4 linked regions of the Drosophila melanogaster genome follow. The protein of the gene in region 2 interacts with the protein of the main gene of each other region in a pairwise test. Each region holds a gene or a part of one and is shown on either strand. Other genes may lie near its edges. The genes, in order: CG1572, Spt-I, Tsp74F and CG15083.

Region 1 (5,801 bases), on a different chromosome or scaffold from region 2:
AGAATGCAAAATGCAGCCAGCAGCGAATATAATTAAATGTAATTCTTTTTTTTTTCGATAATCATATCTTAATGCTTGATATACGAGTTGTATTTATTAGGCGAAACGTTTGTGTGGTCGGCGATCGAAGGAGGGTCAGTTAATTGTTAAAGAAAAATGCTTAATTTATCGTAATCGATTACCCTTTTCTTTTATATTTAATACTTGCGTGTACTTCTCTTAATTACTATGATTTTTTTTTTTAATACACCTAAACCACTTATTTGTGTTTACTGTATATGTAAATTAGTAGTTAAAGGCGAGGGCTTTATGCCCATCAACAGATAATAAAAACTGCGCCAGAGGGAGCGAGAAGTGTGTTTTAATTATTATTAGTAATTAGTAATTTCAATTGATTTTTTGTGTTTAGAGAATCTATTTCTATGAGAAGACAAACAAAGATGCAAATTCTATTATATATTATATTATATAGTAATTATTTTATAGATAACTAATTTAAAATATATTCAATAAAAACCATAAAAATTACCACCACGTTTTTTCTATTACTCTTTGGTATTAAATTAAATGAAATTATGATTTCATCGAATTTATATATTTGCTTGCTAACAGCAACATTTCCCGCATGGCCCAAAAGTATGCAACACTTTTTACGATCGGTTCAAAATCAAAAAGTACAAAGTACACTGGCCAACACAATTAAAGCATGCCGACAATAAAAAACTATTGCAGCTGAAGCAACAAATAAACAAACTACTACACATTTAGAAAAAACATATAGACACACATCTTTATTCGAATACATGACAATCTGTTTGGTACAAAAGAAAGTGAGACAAAAAAAAAGTTTTGTATATATCGGTAAAAGTACAAGTAAGTGTAACTAGCGCCAAAGAACGTTTCACAGTACAACAAAGATTCCGCCGCTTGGCACCCACTTTCTCTACATCTATGTTTGTATATCCCTGGGCTCTCGCCTCCTTCTCCTGCTTCGCATGACCAGTGGCTAGAGTTGGTTGTGGGAAGAACAAATGCTTCGAGATTGCAAATTCCACTTGAATGGCCGAGTGGGCGGTGGGTTTTGGGTGCTTTAGTGCTTAAATGCCGCGATAGGATCGGTGGGCCAGGAAGGCGCTGATGAAGTACAGCACCGCATTGACCAGGCCCAAAACACCGGCTGCCATATAGGCGTCGTGCTTTACATCGCGCAGCTTGAGCAGCAGGATGGTGGACGAGACCAGGATCAGGATGGCGGCCACACTGTGGTAAATCAGCTCCTGCAAAAAGGTTAATGGTCGTTGAAATGCACGGATTGCAGATACAAGGCGAAGTATATATATGTACGTTTGGAGTTCCATGGCTAATACTAAAGTATACAAAAGATATAGCAATGATGATTATACTCACATAGATCGTCTTGGCAATAATGCCGCCCGTGCTGAGCGACGTGAGGCAGGCGAGGAGTAAACAGAACGTTCCTATCATAAAGGTAACGGCCATCAGATAATGGAACAGATCCTGCTGGCCATAGAAGTATCTGTGGTAGTCCTGGTAGTTGAACGCCAGAATTCCCACAATGGAAGCACCAATGATCTGCGCAAAAAATCGTGATGGTTGTTACATTAAGTTCAAAGTTGCTATCGAATTCTGGGAGCATTAACGCACCAGCTCGAAGAGCTTGAGGATGCCGGGGAAAGTCTTCAGATAGCCCGTGTTCAGGACAATGTAGGAGGTGTTGGTGGTGCTGGTGGTGGTGCGGGTAATGGTCACTGAATGCGACATCTTCGCTCTGCTTCGGTGGTTCTTTTCGGGGGGTTAAAGGTGGGGTCTGCAAAGACAAATAAATAAATGAATAAACACAAAAAAAAAGTAAAATATTGGATGCTAATACCAATACAGAAATATAAGAAACTTCGGTGATAAGAACTGAAATTAAATAATAATACTTATCAAATTGTAAATGCTTAAAATTCGTTGAAATAAGCCAACAAATTTGCTGGTGATTCATGCAAAGTATATTTGCATCCATGTGTTAATTTATGGTTTAATTATTTGATTAAAATGAGTAAGTCTTAGGTTCTTTTTCTTTCACTTATATTCCCCGAATATCGTAATTCATATGGTGTGTTTTTATTTATTTATTGCTTTTTTTTTTTGTATCTTTTGTACTTTTTGGCCAGCTGTTACAGATCGAACGCCCTTGCCACGCCCATCGATCTGCAATGTATCCATACAATGTTTGTGTATTTTTGGCCATCCATTTGTTGCTGTTTTTGTTTTGGATTTTTGCTTTTTGTCTAATTTTAAAACAATTTTCAATGCCGGCCTCGCAGGCGAAAAAGCGCCAAATGCGTTATTGAAGCAGTGGGAGAATCGGAAAAATCTATTTACTTGACCGACGAGAGAAAACCCCCCCGCCCCATACAGAACCACTCCTCTCCCCCCGCGCAACGATTTCCCCCCTTTTTGGGGATCGGCAGCGAACAAAATAGATGAATCGCTCTCGTCTATATGTTCACCTAGGATTGGATATATGTAAGTCTGTATGTATGTACATATATGAATGTATGTAGATATGTATGCATAAACGTCATGAACTTTATGGTCTGCTGCCTGCTGTTCGTTGTGGAAAAGCTGAAGGAAAACTGAAGAAAAGCGCCTCGTTCGTAATTGGGACACACACACACACACACACACACTTTAAGTATACAGATGCCGTGGGTGGGCATAATGGTTATAGGGTATTCGCAAATGCCGTGCCAGATCTGGAAATCAGATTGTGACTATAAGTTCTGACTTCAGATTTGACGATTGGTAATCAAGCCGAATAACATTGTAGGCAAACAAATAAAACCAGTTTAGCTTAAAACAAATAACAAACGGAAGGATAGTGAGATTAATTCCAAATTAACTGCTCTGCTATAGCTATATTTGCTATATTTGGCTTAAAACAAACATGAGTTAAATAAAAGCCTTGTAAGACCCATACAGAGGAGTTGAAAATCGTAACTAATTTTATATTCTTGATATTTTAACTAAGCAAGGAAGAGATCAATTTAGAAAATACCAACGAATTATATTGTTTTAGGAAATGTGCTCATACAAGATTGATGGCAATTGGAATGGGGTTGGATTTCAGAACTTAGACCTTCCTCAAAATCGGTGGCGCATTAGACGAGTTCAAAAACGATGACGCCACCGGTGACGCAATAGTTTACACACAATGTGAATGATGCTCATCGAAATTCACAAAAGTGGTAGAGGCACATACATACACATACATATATACATATGTATATCCCAGTGGCATGGAAGGGGTGCGGCCCAAATTCCGAAGCGTAATACCGAAACCAAAAACCGAAAACCAAAAAAAAAAATAATAATAAGAAAACAAAACAAAGCAAAAACCAAAATAACAAGAACCCATGTGCGACATTTTATCGGAATTAAACAAAATACATTCCGAATATTGATTAGATGGCGGATTTCCGCCGAAAAGCGGTATGATATCATGCCTATGATGTACGATAGTTTAATTCGCATGCCAAGCAACTTGGCCCAAGCAACAGGTTGTTGTTTTGGGCCCTTTAAGATTCCTCTTTGGAACCGGAAGAGATGAACAAAGACGCCGCTTTTGTCAATTTCCCAAATGACAACAACTAATCAATATACATATGTACCAAAAGGCAAGCTATCAAATGTTCTGCTGATAAGAATATTTCCCCACTGCAAACGCGACTCACATTCGGTTTCGCATTTTCAACTCTGGAAATGATATCATCGCCGTCAATAATAATGCAGTTTAATGCTTGTAGGAGAAAAAAAATTAACAACATATTAATGCACAGCCAAGTACCGAGAATTCCAATTCCTTTTGCTTTTCGAAATGTACAAAAAAAATATATAAAAAAAAAAAAAAAACAATAAAACACACATATAGTCCCAGCGGTAGAAATGGGTGGTATGTACCTCTTTCTCTCTCTGTATATCTAAAGTTTTCGGTATGGATCTTACTCTTACTTTTCTCAAAATTCGGCGTAGGACTCAGCCAACTGGTTTTCCTCGCACTTTTCTTTCGACTTTTGCGTCTTTTCGCGCGCACGTTGCAAACGAAACTGAAACCGAAACTGAAAAATAAAAGCGTTTGGCCCGCTGCCTCTGCCACAGTTTTCAGCGTCGCAGTCGACGCAGCCGAGACGAAAACAAAACAAGACCCAGCAGAAGCCTTCCAGGCCGATTTACTGCGACTCGACTTGGGGGATACCCTGCATCACTTAGAACACTTCACAAGCGAATTAGGTTGGTAGTACAAAACATGCATTGCAATTTTTTAAATATGTCGCTTTTTGGGCCAAAAAATGCGAAATAATGGTCCAAATATGGATTGTTATACCTCGTTGAGTTCGTATTCAAAATTCTACTCAAACTGTGTTTAAAATTTGGAATATTAATTTTATGCCATTTTTCGCAAATTTTGATGATGTTACCCCTTACCAAAAATGCGAAAATCGACCCAAAAATTAATTTTTCAAAATCCATCAAAAAGTGATAGAGATAGTTAGTAGTGGTAATTAGCTGCACAAAACAGTCATTCCTGCACTTTTATGACCATTTTTAGACAAGTTATGATAAAAACACGCTTTATTTAAATCGTATTTTTGGCCGAAAGTCGTTTTCCAGATTTAAAGGAAGAAAATATTTAGTTTTTTGGCCACAACATTGGAAATAATGATCCAAATATGGATTGTCATACCTCGTTGAGTTCGTATTCAAAATTCTAATCAAACTGTGTTTAAAATTTGGATTTTTAATTTTTTGCCATTTTTCGCAAATTTTGATGATGTTACCCCTTACCGAAAATGCGAAAATCGACCCAAAAATTAATTTTTCAAAATCCGTCAAAAAGTGATAGGGATAGTTAGTAGTGGTTTTTAGCTGCACAAAACAGTCATTCTTGTACTTATATGACCATTTTTAGATAAGTTATAAGAAAACACCCTTTGTACATATCGTATTTTTGGCCAAAAGACGTTTTCCAGATTTAAAGGAAGAAAATATTTAGTTTTTTGGCCACAACATTGGAAATAATGATCCAAATATGGATTGTCATACCTCGTTGAGTTCGTATTCAAAATTCTAATCAAACTGTGTTTAAAATTTGGATTTTTAATTTTTTGCCATTTTTCGCAAATTTTGATGAATACCGAATATGCAAAAATCGACCCAAAAATTAATTTTTCAAAATCCATCAAAAAGTGATAGGGATAGTTAGTAGGGGTTATTAGCTGCACAAAACAGTCATTCCTATGCGTTTATGACCATTTTTAGACAAGTTATGATAAAAACACCCTTTGCATAAATCGTATTTTTGGCCAAAAGACGGTTTTCAGATTTAAAGGAAGAAAATATTTAGTTTTTTGGCCACAACATTGGAAATAATGACTGGTCTATGCCACCCGGATGCGTTTTCATCCAGGGTATCAGCAAGGCAATTCAGCCAACAACGCCAACAAGTTGACTTGACTGCTGGCTAGCGCGGTATAAATGACGCCTGACGTCATGATGTCATCGAGTGAGCGGCAGAGCAGCCAAGCAGCGGAGCGGCCAACCTTAATATTTGTAATCTTCAAGTGCAACTAGGCCCCCGGCCACGCCCCCTTGACACTGTTCATTGGCCGCCCACGGATTGGCAATTAAAAAGAAAGGAATTAAACTTGCTAGTGGAAGCTCCTCGGACTTTTTCTCTGACTCAGCGCCACCTGAAAGTGGAGAGTGAGAAAAGTGGGTGAGGGCGATAGAGA
Region 2 (4,395 bases):
TAGTGGAGCAAGCCGGACCGAATTGGTAGGTCCCGCAAAGAAGAAGAAGTAAAGTGATGTGATGTGAGGTGAAGTGAAGTGAAAACCACTAACTGGGTTGGCGCGGCGCCGTGTTTATTATTGATATTTATTTTGGTTTTTGGCTCGTGCCCGGCCAGCGAGTTACGTAAAAGAAAAGCCAACGTCAAAATGCAGCTCGAAAACTGGTTGCTCCACCGATTTTCGCACACACCAAGAGATACTTATTGCGCATTGCAAAAAGCGGGTAAAAGCGAAAATACCTAATCGAGGAAATACTGCGCTGGGATGCATCAATTGTGTCATGGAGTTAGTCGGGTGCATTGCTCGATTTATCTGCGAAAGTGGGCATGGTGTAGACATGGTAGCTTCATTCGAGCGCATCAAGTTCAAGAGAAATAGGAAGTGGCTTTTCTTTGCGCTATTTCGGTTTGCCATTATCGCATGGGCAATGCTAACTATAACTATTTGATTGATAGATAGTGATGTGAAAGGTACTTTGATTGGTAGCTACATAGTATAGTTCATCAGTATCAGTTGGCAATTATTTAATAATATTGTAATTTAAGACGAAATGGAACTTGATAAAAATGATTATGTATATTTTAAATACAATCGTGACTTTGAAAGAAGTATTTCCTTGGGTCTAATTGAATAGTGATATAGGTAAATAGTAAATAATTATATGAAATGCAATAGAATTTACTATATATTAAAACAAGGACATTTGCAAGGAAGAGTGAATACTTGTACCTAGACTAGATCGCGACACATAGCGTAAATTGTTGTATCTAGACTACCAGCCAGGTACACCCAAATATACACTTCCCATCACTGCCAATAGAAAAAAGTGTTAATTTCACAGAAAACGACAGCCGCAAGTGGCTGAAAATAAACCAAGGCAATTGCAAAATACTCTTGTTGTCCAGCTGATTTCACTTTGTGCACATACAAGTATCCGTTTCGATTCGCGTGTAATGTGATAAAGTTTTCTTGCAAAATGCAGAACTAACTATATCTCTTTGTTTACATCGGCTTTTTGCGGTGTTCTTTGTCTTCTCGCGGTTTTTATCTCGCGAACTCGAATTTCAGATGGCGCCAGTAACGCGGCTCATTCACATCGGTTGACCGATCGCAGCAGCAGTTCAATGGAAACTGAATGGATCGGCGGTTTGAATTGAATTCGATTTCGTTATTTCCCACCGCACGGTCACACTGCGATCGCTGCTCTGCCTATCGATATAAAATAGTAATCGATCATATATTTGAAATGATAACTAGAAAAGAACCGTTACGTAGCAAGTTTATTTGAGTTCAGTATCATAAAAATATTGATAAAATCTAGGTAATTTTTAATAAAAATTTAAAATCTGTTGTAACTTGTTGTATTTTGTTGTTAGCGAGTCAGCTCGGTGGGACAGGTCAGTGGGACACGTCAGCGGAACAGGTCGGTGGGTCAGATCGGCGGGACAGGTCGGTGGGGCAGGTGGGCGGGACAGGTCGACAGGACCAGGTTTTTGAATAACAAAAAATAAATAAAAACGTCCCCTAGTTCCATATTCCACTGTTCCTCCATCGCCGCCAATTTGGCGCACATCTTAAAGATATCCGCGTATTGGTATTTTTTAGTACATTCGTTCATCCATCTGTTTCGGCGGATATTTCACGCATTTTGCCTATAGTTAACTGAGTTTTGTGGTGAGTGCTCGATTTAAATGGATATTTAATGTAAGAGAATGTTGGAGAAGGGCGTGGTTGCACATTTTTCGCCCACTGGCAATTAGCCTATGTCAGCATACACACCCAATTGAAAAGATTTCCGTACCGTATGGTCGAATGCTTCAATTCTACATATGTATGGGGCATACCCGCGATAAGAAAGCGTCGGCTAGATGACACATAACTTCAGGGAATTAAGGCGGTTTCAATTGATTTTTCACAGAAAGGGCACGGAACCAGACTGTCAAAATGGTGGCCATCCAATTGTTCAACGAAATCGGCAGTATTTTCCGAAACGTAAGTTTGCATTCGCCTTTTTCACCACATTTAGCTTACTCCAGTTTCTACTCCTTCCACAGACCCCCACGTTTGCTCTCGTCTTGGAGACCCTACTGCTCATAACCGTGATTTGGTTGCTGCTCCACAGACGAGGAGGAGGTCGTCGCCGACAGCTGACCAAGGAGGAGGAAGACCGAATAATCGCCGACTATGAACCAGAGCCCTTGGTGGCCGACACCGATCCCAATCATCCCCTGCTGCACACCCGCGTTGTGCAGTCCAGGGTGGGCAAGCGCATCCAGGTCGATGGACACGACTGCCTAAATCTTGGCTCTCACAACTATCTTGGCTTCCTCGAGGACCAGGAGATACTGGAGGAGGCCTGCAAGTCGCTGCGCAAGTACGGAGTTGGATCTTGCGGACCTCGGGGCTTCTACGGCACTATGGACGTGCATCTGGACCTGGAGGATCGTATTGCCAAGTTCATGGGCCTGGAGGAGGCCATTGTCTATTCCTACGGCTTCTCGACCGTGGCCAGTGCCATTCCGGCGTATGCCAAACGTGGCGACCTTATCTTTGTGTAGGATTGTCTACTTCACCTACTCAGATTGGCGACTAATTACTTGTTATTTGTAGGGATGAGGCTGTCAACTTTGCCATTCAGAAGGGTCTGGATGCTTCACGAAGCACAATCGTTTTCTTTAAGCACAATGACGTTGAGGATCTAGAACGTCTGCTGATTGAGCAAGAAAAACGAGACCAGAAAAATCCGAAAAAGGCGGCTAAGACACGTCGCTTCCTCGTCGCCGAGGGTATCTATATGAATACGGGCGAGATTTGCCCACTTCCCGACCTGGTGGCCTTGCGTCAGAAGTACAAGCTGCGTTTGTTCATCGACGAAAGCATCTCCTTTGGCACATTGGGCCAGGGTGGTCACGGAGTTACGGAGCACTTTAATGTCGATGTAGGTGGTAAACCGGAAAGAAAAACTAAAATTATAACTGGTATTTTTCTTTTAGCGTGATGAAGTCGATCTGATATCGGCCGGCATGGAGGGTTCGATGGCAACAGTCGGTGGCTTCTGTGTTGGCTCGCACTTCATAGCCGAGCACCAGCGCCTCTCTGGCTTGGGCTACATCTTCTCGGCCTCGCTGCCGCCCATGCTCACCCAGGCGGCTATTTCAGCGTTGGATCGTTTCGAACGAGAACCACAAATCTTCGAGCAGCTGCAGGCAAAGTCTAAGACGTTGCACCAGAAGTTTTTGCGATTCAGCAAGCTAACCCTGCGCGGCGATGAGGTGTCACCAGTGAAGCACTTGTATCTTGCCCAGCCCGCCGAGAACTTTGACAAGGAACTGAAACTTCTAACAGAGCTGGCTGATAAGGTAGGCATTTTATTTCCCCATGCAATTATGAAAACTATACATTTCTACTCACTTTTCCCAGTGCATTGCTCGTGGAGTGGCTGTGGTACAGGCTGCCTACCTGCAGAACAGGGAACGCCAACCAGTCCGTCCCAGCATTCGCATTGCTGTCAACCGTTTGCTGGAGAGTTCGGAAATAGACAATGCGTTTGAGGTCATCGAGAGTGTTTCCAGCTCCGTCCTATAAGCCTTGTTGTTGGAAAGGAATGATCTTCTTTCGACAATGGCCTTGCTGTTAAGTTTTAAGGCCTGCTGGCCCCATCATTTTTTCATCACTTCTTCACGACCAGTCCAGTATGAATTGTTTAAGTTAATAGCTAGCCTTGCACTTGCTCTTTGCACTTTGTTGCATTGCATTTTAATGAAAAATTTTAAGTCTAGGAAAACTTTCAAAGATTACACGTTATAGATAACAGAGCTGGTTAAATAAAACTATTAAGTTTATTTGGTAGTTACGTGCCCTTTTATTGGTGTTTCTTATCGCCTGCGCAATCGCAAACGTTTTTGAATATCCCGATAAAGATAAGGGTAATATTATGTGGCATTTGTTGTAAAATTTACAAGAACAACTTCCACAAAGAAACATTCATTATTTATTTATGTTTTTCTTGCATGACAATTAAGATACACATCACACGCTTAATAATAACTAATATGTGGAATAAGCCAGATGGAATGGAAATGCTTTGAAACGATTTGATTGCCAGTGGAGCAGAGCTGTTTCCGAGTGGCGACCTAATCTGTGAGCAATAATCATAACCCTTCGACTTTCAAACCCATGTTTGTGCATTCGATTCACTGATGAACTTGACAACGACGACCCCAAATCATGATGTTGTGCACATAGCGCTCTGATTTCGATGCCGATATGCCAGCCGGCAATCAGCGCCAATTGAGCGTATACGTACTATGAACTTGGGTGCGGTGCTATCAGTGCGAATACGCAACATTTGGC
Region 3 (6,105 bases), on a different chromosome or scaffold from region 2:
ATGGGTAGTATTATAGGCTTAGTATACAGAAATCTGTTGTAGCTGTAAGTTCTTAGTAGAATAATTTTTAATAAAAGTTAATTAAAGAAAATACTTTTTTATTCAAATCTTTAAAGTCGCTTGAGTGCGAACTTATTTTCAGTTAAATAACATAAAAGTTGTTATATTATCTGATGATAATTCACTTTGTAAACACCTTCAGGTCACAGCGTGATCCATACTTTCCCTATTTTCCCGCTTCAAAAATGTGACTTAAGACAAAAAAAACCTAAAAATATGCAACAATATTGCATGTAGATTAAAGCTTCGATCAAAAACAGTTTAATACTTTAAACCGTTTTTTAAATACAAATTTTTACGTAACATGGACATATTTCATGGACCAGATCATTTTAAATATTTATCCTTTTTCGTTTTTTTTTTATACTCATATCACAACATATCGTTTAATGATAATTGGATTAAAAATAAAAAATATTAATATATATAAACATTTCCGAAGTATTTGGTTTTAACTAATTTTTATTGAAAACAACAATGGACAGACATCTAAATTCTCTATTAAGTATTGAAAAGCTCACTTAAAACTAGCAATTGTAATGGGTTGTTGATAACGGTGGCTTAAGAGGAAATTTACAAAACTTCACACAAATAATACAAATTTATGCAACAGATAATAACAATAGAATCCCTACTAAGTTCAATACTCACTAGTTATGCGTATCTAAACACGTATATACATACAATACAATACATAATACAAGCGGACAGTTGATCTGTGCAGATCTAACATTAGCATACACTCAGATAATACTCTTAATTTAACTCCAGCGAATTATGTTTAAAAATGTGTTTCTTCTGGACTGTGGACCTTGGTATCTGATTTTCCTGCGTGACCATGGGATTCCCCTCCTCGTTGGCGCTATTCGATCATATTGAATAGTAGACAGGAGAATATCATGCCAAAGATCTAAAAATAAACCAAATTCCAATTAATTATATATTATATAATAATTTTGCTACCGAAGAAAGGCGTTCACTTACCATCAGTATGGCCACCGCTATGGATGTACCTCCAATAACCGCCGCGTGATCCCTGATGAAGTTGGTCGTCACATAGAGGCATCCCTGGTTGTACAGATTCGTAATGGTCGGGAAGATTGTGCACTCCTTACGCTGTCCACCGAAAAGCTCCTGGCAACAGGACTCAGGCACTGGTCCGTACCTATTCCAGTCGTGCCACGTATCCACTCCGCAGCACTGTAGTCGCTCCTGGGTCAAATCCCAGGCCTGGGTGATCTCCCTCCTGCTTCCGTATAGTGCCATCGTGGAACGCATTTCCTATGGGATATTGGTAAGGGTTAATGTGCCACCCACGTGTTGTTATCGATGGATTTGCCTCACCTGCCGCATGGTCTGCTGAACTCGTTCGCGGAACACGTAACCCAAGACACCGCCAATTAGCATGGTCACGAAAACTAGGGCCACTATTATGAAATACTGCAAAGGGAAAACGAGTGGTTAATTTTTTAGCTAAATGGTGTTTGCATAATAGTAAAGAAGAGACTGACAACATTTAGAAGATTAAATCAAATAGATCATTTCTTTAGATGGTATCTTTGTAAATATGCAAATCCAGATATGATTACTCCAAAAAGGACAAAGTTAATTATTTAATAAAATGAAATTTTTGTTTTTATTGTTTGTTGTTTACTTACTGTTAGGAGGAGGCATTTGACTTCTTTTCCGGCACCAACACAACCCAAAAAGGACACCAGACAAATGATAATCGATGTAACCAGCAGGACGTAGACAGCACCCGAGAAAAGATTTGTACCGAGCAACTCATTGACGAAACTCCGATCCACCAGAGTCCACAGGGTGAGACAAAACACAATCGCTCCACCCACCTGGAAAATACATATATTTTGGTATTATTTATTTCTCTTAAATTGTTTTTTAATTCAAGCGACTCCTGGATACTCACGAATATCACAAAGTTGGCTATGAAAAGACTGTACTTGACGAACTGCCCGCAGCAGTCCATTCGCGAACTGAAGCCCATATCGTCTTCCTTTGAAAGGATAATACATTTCAATTAACCAATTCAATGGGATAAAAAGATTTCACATTGTTTACTTTTGTCTACAGGTGAAGAGCCCCCAGAGGATATTGATGCGAGGAGAATTATGCAGGGAATTTGGGGTAGGATGAGATGCAGAGGTTCTTGATGGCGATACAACTCTATAATCCAAAGACAGATAAAAATAATTTCACACTATGCTTTAATTAAGTTAAAGTTCTTAGAGATCATTCAATTTCAACAGGTCCTTAGCGATAACCAAGTTAATCATAACTCATCATCCCGATTTCAAATTAGCTATTTTTGGCCTACTCTCTATTGCAATGTGATGTAATCTCAAGAATGTACTTTTTAACGAGTTTCTTTCGCGTAAGATTCACTCCAACATATGGGCTGCCTATCAATGGTGTTCGGCTTGGCGAGTGGTGCGCATGCGCATGCGCATGCGCAGCTGTGGTTTCGGCCGAACGTTTCGCTCTTTCTAAGCCGGGTCCGAACCGCGAAGCGACCGAAGTACACTTAACCATGACCCACTTTATGGAACTGCGACTGAGCAGCGAAGCTGCCAACGCTATGTGCCTAGACAAGCGTTCATTATCGGCGGTGGCTGCCAACGTCTTGTGGATTTTGTCAGTTACGGCTCTAAAGACTCGCGTTTTTTTTTTTTTTTTTGGTTACTTACATCGCATTAGGCCCACTTGAAGGGTTCGCTGCGCGGCGATTCCGAGACGAATTCCCCCCGTTGAAGTTGGAGCGATCAAAACAAATAAATCAAAGTAATAGCCTGCCCGAAAATTTGTCAGCTAATTGTAGTGGTTTAACTACGAGTGCCGTCCCAGCTCTGAATCATCTTGGCGCAGTGCGATGTTCTAAATGCTAATTAAAAGTAATTGCAGGCTGAGCAGTCGGGTACCCCTTCACCCCACTAGCTGGTAAACGACATCTCATTTCGAGCATTATTCTCCAAATTCAAATATGTTAAGCCGCAGTCGAGTTCGCCAGGTAATTGGCGGGGCTATTAAAAAAATGTTCTCACACTATCTGAATATTCACTATATTTCATTCGACGTTATCATGTTAAGCGAATCCGAATCGTGCCTGAGATGACAGTAAGTCATCCGAAAGTCGCCATTAATGATGACGGGGCGTTGGCGGCGGGGCGAATCACTATATCTGCCGCTTGTAAGCTGAGACCAATTAAGTTTATGGTAATTGTTCAGCTGTACGTGCTACACATGGTAATAGATCACTTAAAGCTCGGATTCCAAGTCCTGTCACTCATGAAAAACTTAGAAAATCAGACTTTTTAAGTACTATCTACTAAACTCTGAGCTCACTCTTTTATGCTCCTTTCATACCCTGTTATCTATCTGTAATCATAGGAATAATAGCTTTACTAGGTCATTTATGTTTAAAACTCGTATGTAATCTTTATTTGTAGGTGATGTTAGCTTAAAAGTTAGTGAGCAGAATCGGTCGAGGCTATAAATATGAAATATGTACTCCTTGTTTATACTCGAAGCTTGAAAATATAGCAGTGAAAATAGGAAAGTGGTCGCATTTGAAGGACCTCTGTATGAAATTTATGATTAATTAAAACAAATGAAATATTATCTAATAAGCAAATTCACTTACAAGTTTGCCGTCCCGTAGCACAAACGAAGTTTTCGTTAGGTAACCAATTTTGGCGGTTTTCTTTCTCAGCTTTGTGTATGTAAATTGCCTTCAATTTGTTGTTTTGCAAAAACACAAAGCAAAACAAAAGAAACGGCTACTATTTTTAGTTGCACTTGAATGCACAGAAACTTTGGGAGTGGCTATAAAAAAAGAAGGAAATTATTTTAACCCTTTCAATTAACATTTTTGTGGTAAGAAGTAGAAGAGTTTTTAATTTCACTTTTATTTATAAACAACTTTTTGATGAAGACGCATTCATTCATTTTTTCGGTCGATTTTATTAACTTGTTTAAATTTTTGGTTCATTCTTCATTCAGATCACTTCATTCAGATCAAAAGAGATCGCAAAGTTTACATACGCATATAGCAATTTATGCAATATTCGTTAATATTTGCTCTCGAATTTTTATGAAACTTTTTTAATACAGGTTTCTTGCATTTGTTTTAAGCGTCACTCGCAGTTGATAATTGTTATTGAGTTTTTATTCGATTGCTGTTGCTGTTATTGTCAATTGCAGTTCTCCCATGGCAAACAACTTTTTTTTTGCCGCCTTGCTTTTAACATTTGCTTTTCAAGTTACGTCACGCTTGCCAAGGCAGCATTATCCTTAGCGGAGTTATCACTGTACTGTCGGGATATTTCGTGGGGATAAAACTATACGATTCACTTGATGGACCTAAGTCTCGCCTTACAGGGATTGAGTGGATCCGGGGAGCTATGATACTATGGTTTTATATGTGGGACAGGGACGACTCTACCGCCCGAGAGCTCGCTTGGAACTGGTTGTGGGAACAGTCGGGGCGATCGGTTTTTTATTAGTTTCGCTCACAAAGAGCTTCGTTGTTGGGCTTTTTCTGGTCTCGGTCTCTCGACATTACAACAACTTCGACTTGAGCCCCTGTTTTCGAAGGCTTAGCACTGCAGGTGCGAGAGAGATGGGAGTCTCTACTCGCTTACAAACCGCAAATACTTCTCTGAATGTTTTCGTGCTTCTCTCTTATTTATTCATCTATTTTTCGGCTTCTTTTACCCACACTTCCCTTTGCGGAGTCGGCATGTGAAAATGCGTTGAGCAAACAAAATATGATCCGTCGTCCACAGCCAGCACCTTTGTTTCATTTCGGGCAATTGCAAAATATAAATATTGATAAGCAAACGAAATTTGATATTTGTTTTAGTTCTCGGTCTGCACATGGCAATGTCCGCATAATTGATTTTGGAGGCAAATCTATCCGAATTGGTTACCGTTTTGTTATAACAGTTTAAGTTTAAATACTTTTTGAACAAGGATTATTTGTAATGATTGTTTTCTTTCTTCAGTTGGATCATTTGCATCTATTTGCAACCATATTTATATTCAATATACGAGTGTTGATCAGACAACTTGATAAAGCCAAGTTTGTCAGTCCGTTCCTTTCTTACGCATTCTAGAATCATAGTTTTAAAGCTTGGAACTTTTCTAAAAATCTTCTTTTTATTGCTCGTAGTATGTGAATTTGTCTTCTGTATCATGTATGTATAAATATCGAAATTTAATTGAAAATATTAGAAAAGAAATCAAACATTGGCGAGGCTATCTTTCTTTCTTGATTTCAAGGGCTTAGTGTTCCAAGAGAGCACAAGGAAAATATGCTTATTATCCGTGTTTCATGTTACTTTTGCTGGTCGAACTCAATTGCTGTGCCGAAGGACAACCTTTGGCAATTAACAGCTTAATTTTCTTGTTAGTCGAACAAATAGTTTTGGCTGAGTTGAGTAATTTTTTAAGCAGTTTCCAAGCTAAGGTCAGAAAGTTGGCTGCCGATAGACGAATAGCTCACCCTCCCTACTTACACTCCACAGCACGGTTGAAAAGCGCTCAAATTGTTGGCTTGTTTAGCACTTTTATGGCCGTGTTAACAACAACCACCCGCCATGTCCCCGTAATCACCGACCAATGTGTTAGTTGCATGGCGAAAATAAAAATAAATCATAAAAAAAAGAAAAACAATTACTCTGCCTGTTGATTTTGCATCTTATAAACTCGCTGTGGGAACCTTTTGCGTTTTATAGATGCCATAAAATCCATTTCCACACACTCGTCCCACAGGCGCCTCATGATAAAATATTGCTCAGAAATCGAAGTTTGCGACTAGTGCTCAGTTATTCTTGCTCAAGTGGCCAAGAATCATTAATATTATGGGGAATTCTTAATTTTAAGCCAGTCAATTTCGCCTATGAACCTATACTTACTGAGATCCGATTAGTGTGAGCGAGTTGAAAGCCTCGTTGAGCTCGGCGAAGGTGACAAGCGTCAGAAGCGTTAAATTGTGGCACTTTAACTGATTGGAATGAGTCAAAAATT
Region 4 (3,718 bases), 5.7 Mb from region 2:
ATAACCACGCCGAGATGAAAACCGGCTGTTGCCCAACGGCAGACGCAGTCGCAGATCCAAGCGAGTGGGTCACACTTCGAGCTCAAGCTGAACCTGAACCTAGGTATGGAGTCTGCCATGGAGTCGGGCAGTACTGGCCAGGCTGTGCGAATACTGGCGGCCGTGCAGGCTAAGCTAACTACCCAAAATGCCGAGACGAGCTTTACGCAGTCGCAAAACATCAATAACAGCAGCAACAATAAGATGACCAACTTTCCATTTTATGTCTAAGTAAGCAGATTGGAGCAGAAGACGATGCCGAGTATGATAGCTAGCTATATAGATAGAGAACTGTGTCGAGAGTATATAATTGTCCGTAGTGTGATCGATCGTTTTAAATGTTGAATGTTTAAGAACGCGGTAGCCCAATAGCCAATAGCACCCTGTATGTATATGTATGTAACCAATGTATTTAACTGTTGATAGTTGATCCCAAGTCGATGTGAGTAAGAGATGTGCGTTAACGACAAACTGCAATCAAATAAAAAACAAAGCATTTTATTGCAAACACTGAGATGAACGAACGGTGGGCTCTTCCCCGACAATTTATGTAGTGTAGAATGATAAGGACTAAACCACATTCATGGCGCGCGGTGTTTGTTTGCTGGCTTCGCTGTTTTTCAGCTGGAGGTAGAAGGAGTACACAATTCGTGCGCTGAAGAGGATCAATACTGAAAGTGTAGCGGAGAATATGTATGATCTGTACATTTTTGTTAACTCAATTTGATGTTCATAGCCGATACTTACGAAATGTGATGATGTAAACGAGCAGGGCACCGAAAACGTTGTTCATTCCGGTAGCCTCGCGATATCCTCCGTAGTGGAAGATAACCCCGAAGACGGCAAACGGAAAGGAGATGGCTTCAATGGCAGCGAAGATCAGCCAGACGAACACCAGAATTGGCTTTTCCTGCAATTCGGAAAGGTAGATTGGGTTTCGTTGACTCAATAAAACGGAATGGGTTGTATTTTATTTACCTTCAGGGTTCCTATCAATAAGCAAATATTGGCGACTACTACGATGGCAAATCCAATAAAGGTAAGAACTGCAAGGATTCAAGTGAATTTAAATAGAAATTATTGAACGTACATATTTCATTCATAAAAAAAGCCGTTACAATTAGTGGAAAGTAAACATAAACTTGGGCTTATAAGTGACTCAATGTATTCCAAGCAAAACGTTGCTGTGCTCTTATCTTTCTTCCCGTCTGAAATTTGAGAACACGACTGCTAAATGTATCTTCGTATATAATGAGTACATATTGATGCACTGATGCACTTCATGTACATGTGTACATATACATAAAGAACTAAAACATAAATTCTTCTTTTATATTTTAAACACATTTCATACATGAAATATGACAAACTTTTTAAAACAGCTTAGAATAAGGTTTATAGAACTTCTTTGAGACATGGACAAATGCAGGGCTTTAAGTGTTTTTATGACATATGGCGTTCAACTGTTAAAACCCAATAATCTTTTAAGTTTAATTCTGCGCCATGCACAGCCCAAGGAAATTATTTAATTTTCTTTTTTGTGCTGGAAAATTCAAGCCTGTGAGAAAATGGCATTTCGGGCCACCTAAAATGAATTGTCAGCTCGAATTTGTCGGCGATGTCGTCATCGATGGTGAGGTGTTGTATCCAAAATGGTTGTGAATTGGAACGCGTTTGTGTCGAATGGATTAGCTCATTCGTTTATTTCGCATGTGAACATCATGAATGTATTGTCTCTCTATGGAAATAGCGTCAGTCTGGGCAATCAGCTTCTGAAAATAAACAAATGCCACGCCTCTCGCATTTCTCCTACCGTTTGGAGCGAATATAACGTTGAAAGTCATGCTCAATAGCCAATAGATCGCGATTCCCAGGCACCAGCTCCGCAAATCGGTATTGCACGGGCCATTTTCCACCGTCAGATCGATTTTCATTTTGAAACTCTGTGGTTTACAGCGAATTTTCCAAATACAAATATGGCTAGTATGGCACTTAAACCGGTTTGGGAACACCTAGCGCACGGAAACACAACCGCACTGGGCAAGAATCAAATAATAAGTGTGGCGCAAATGCCGATGCCGCTCAGAAGAAACGGTTGCGTAAACTATGCAACACGAAAATACTTTTTTTTCGAGCGTGGAAAAACTACGTCTGATATGTTCTTAAAAAATATATGTGCACTCATTTACTATATGAATTTGTTTGCATATGTTTCGTCATTTAAGAGTGAAATGAATAAAATGGGGAATTGTCTTTAAAATAATAGAGAGATTTAATGCTGTATTATATATGTAATGTAGCTACTATTAGCACCTTGAAAAATATTATGAAAGTAAGCCGCTGCTGTGCAGTGTTAATGAATACATAAATAAATATTTTTTAACTATCATGCCAAATAATAAATGCATAAAAATATTTAAAATATAAAAATGTTATTAAAAGAATTTTAAACAATTAGCGTTAAAAAGTCACATTAAAAGCTGGTGAACAAGTCACAGTTTCGACACCAACTGCTTGAACCAGTCTGGCAACGCCGCTGTACCCAAAAGCTTTTAATTGTCAGCCAATTGCGACTTATCAAGCAATTGCAATTTTGCTGCGCCGGCGAACTGAAGTAAAATTGTCTTTATCTTCGCATTAGCACGAAATCAAGTGAATCCAGAATGCTGTCCAGGGTCTTCTGTATGCGCCTGAACACCTATGGTGTGGTCATTGGATGGCTGGGCGTGATTCTATCCTTCTTGGCCACGATCCTCTTGTCCTTGGCCCTCGGATTCGTCGATGAAATTGCGCAGCAGATCGCCAAGGGATCGGAAGATTCTAACAAGACGGCCACCGAGATTCGCAGTGGTAAGGGCTAACCATCGAGTGCACCCACAACCAATCGTATATTTTTTATTGTATTTCATTGTTCTTGCGGTTATTGCAGTGCTAATCATCGTTTTCAGTGTTTACCTGGCGCTCAAGGTGATTAATCTTCTGGCTTCGGCCATGTTGGTTGCAGGTACCGTTAAGGTAAGTCTAGTATCAATATGCAATCTGTACAATCGCGTATATATGTGTCTACTATAGTACATATCTAGAGTTAGACCTTTTTAAAAGCCCACTATTCTGTAAAAAAAACCGGCAAGTTTCTTTGCAAATACATATGTACATACACCATACTAACTAGAGATAGAGATGGTTCTAATAGCGTTTGCCTTTCAGGAACGCCATTTACTCCTGCTGCCCTGGCTGATCAACAATGGAGTGCTGCTTGTCTTTGGAATTATCACCAATATTGCAATGCTGGCCCAGATCATCGGAAATACATCTTTCCTGAGCGCTCTTCCAATCATTTTCGTGGATGTTGGCCTGCTCTGTAAGTGACTCACCACTTCATACATACATAAGCTCTATCTGGAAATGGGTATACACAATACACACTGGCCGTTGTTGCGAAATTGTGGATCCCCATTGCGCTTATCGCTCGACGGTCTGCGATCGTTCTATAATTGCGCTTGGGCACGATGCTTATTTTTCTCCATTCGCTCGTTTTCAGTGCTGACCTGGTATCTCTACTACGGCATCTACTCGCTCTTCAAGCAGATCCAGGCATCCCGTGAGATCCAGCGCCCGCTGATCCCACAGCCGACCCAGCAGACCAACTCCTATCCCAGCTACACCAAGATTTAAGCTC

Evidence for each region.
Region 1: the proteins of Spt-I (region 2) and CG1572 interact in a two-hybrid assay, tested with the Drosophila melanogaster proteins (one large-scale study listed by BioGRID).
Region 3: the proteins of Spt-I (region 2) and Tsp74F interact in a two-hybrid assay, tested with the Drosophila melanogaster proteins (one large-scale study listed by BioGRID).
Region 4: the proteins of Spt-I (region 2) and CG15083 interact in a two-hybrid assay, tested with the Drosophila melanogaster proteins (one large-scale study listed by BioGRID).

Annotation. Positions count from the first base shown.
Region 1 is NC_004354.4:11,554,519-11,560,319, forward strand, and holds CG1572 (uncharacterized protein), read right to left. Parts: upstream 4,120-5,801; 5' UTR 3,970-4,119; intron 1,921-3,969; exon of another isoform or gene 1,892-1,920; intron 1,829-1,891; 5' UTR 1,783-1,828; coding exon 1,666-1,782; intron 1,594-1,665; coding exon 1,408-1,593; intron 1,278-1,407; coding exon 1,098-1,277; 3' UTR 532-1,097; downstream 1-531.
Region 2 is NT_033778.4:13,166,855-13,171,249, forward strand, and holds Spt-I (serine palmitoyltransferase subunit I), read left to right. Parts: upstream 1-1,643; 5' UTR 1,644-1,716; exon of another isoform or gene 1,717-1,960; 5' UTR 1,961-1,986; coding exon 1,987-2,034; exon of another isoform or gene 2,035-2,096; coding exon 2,097-2,596; exon of another isoform or gene 2,597-2,652; coding exon 2,653-2,980; exon of another isoform or gene 2,981-3,035; coding exon 3,036-3,401; intron 3,402-3,453; exon of another isoform or gene 3,454-3,462; coding exon 3,463-3,627; 3' UTR 3,628-3,890; downstream 3,891-4,395.
Region 3 is NT_037436.4:17,891,313-17,897,417, forward strand, and holds Tsp74F (tetraspanin 74F), read right to left. Parts: upstream 4,551-6,105; 5' UTR 4,454-4,550; intron 3,901-4,453; 5' UTR 3,719-3,900; intron 2,245-3,718; exon of another isoform or gene 2,140-2,244; intron 2,075-2,139; 5' UTR 2,066-2,074; coding exon 1,988-2,065; intron 1,911-1,987; coding exon 1,719-1,910; intron 1,501-1,718; coding exon 1,405-1,500; intron 1,342-1,404; coding exon 1,045-1,341; intron 971-1,044; coding exon 923-970; 3' UTR 508-922; downstream 1-507. Other genes in the region: CG7402 (uncharacterized protein), read left to right, coding at 1-42.
Region 4 is NT_033778.4:18,833,647-18,837,364, reverse strand, and holds CG15083 (uncharacterized protein), read right to left. Parts: upstream 2,103-3,718; 5' UTR 1,974-2,102; coding exon 1,853-1,973; intron 1,086-1,852; coding exon 1,018-1,085; intron 950-1,017; coding exon 787-949; intron 711-786; coding exon 610-710; 3' UTR 523-609; downstream 1-522. Other genes in the region: CG15099 (uncharacterized protein), read left to right, coding at 1-18; CG15098 (uncharacterized protein), read left to right, coding at 2,703-2,889, 2,969-3,054, 3,247-3,400, 3,581-3,714.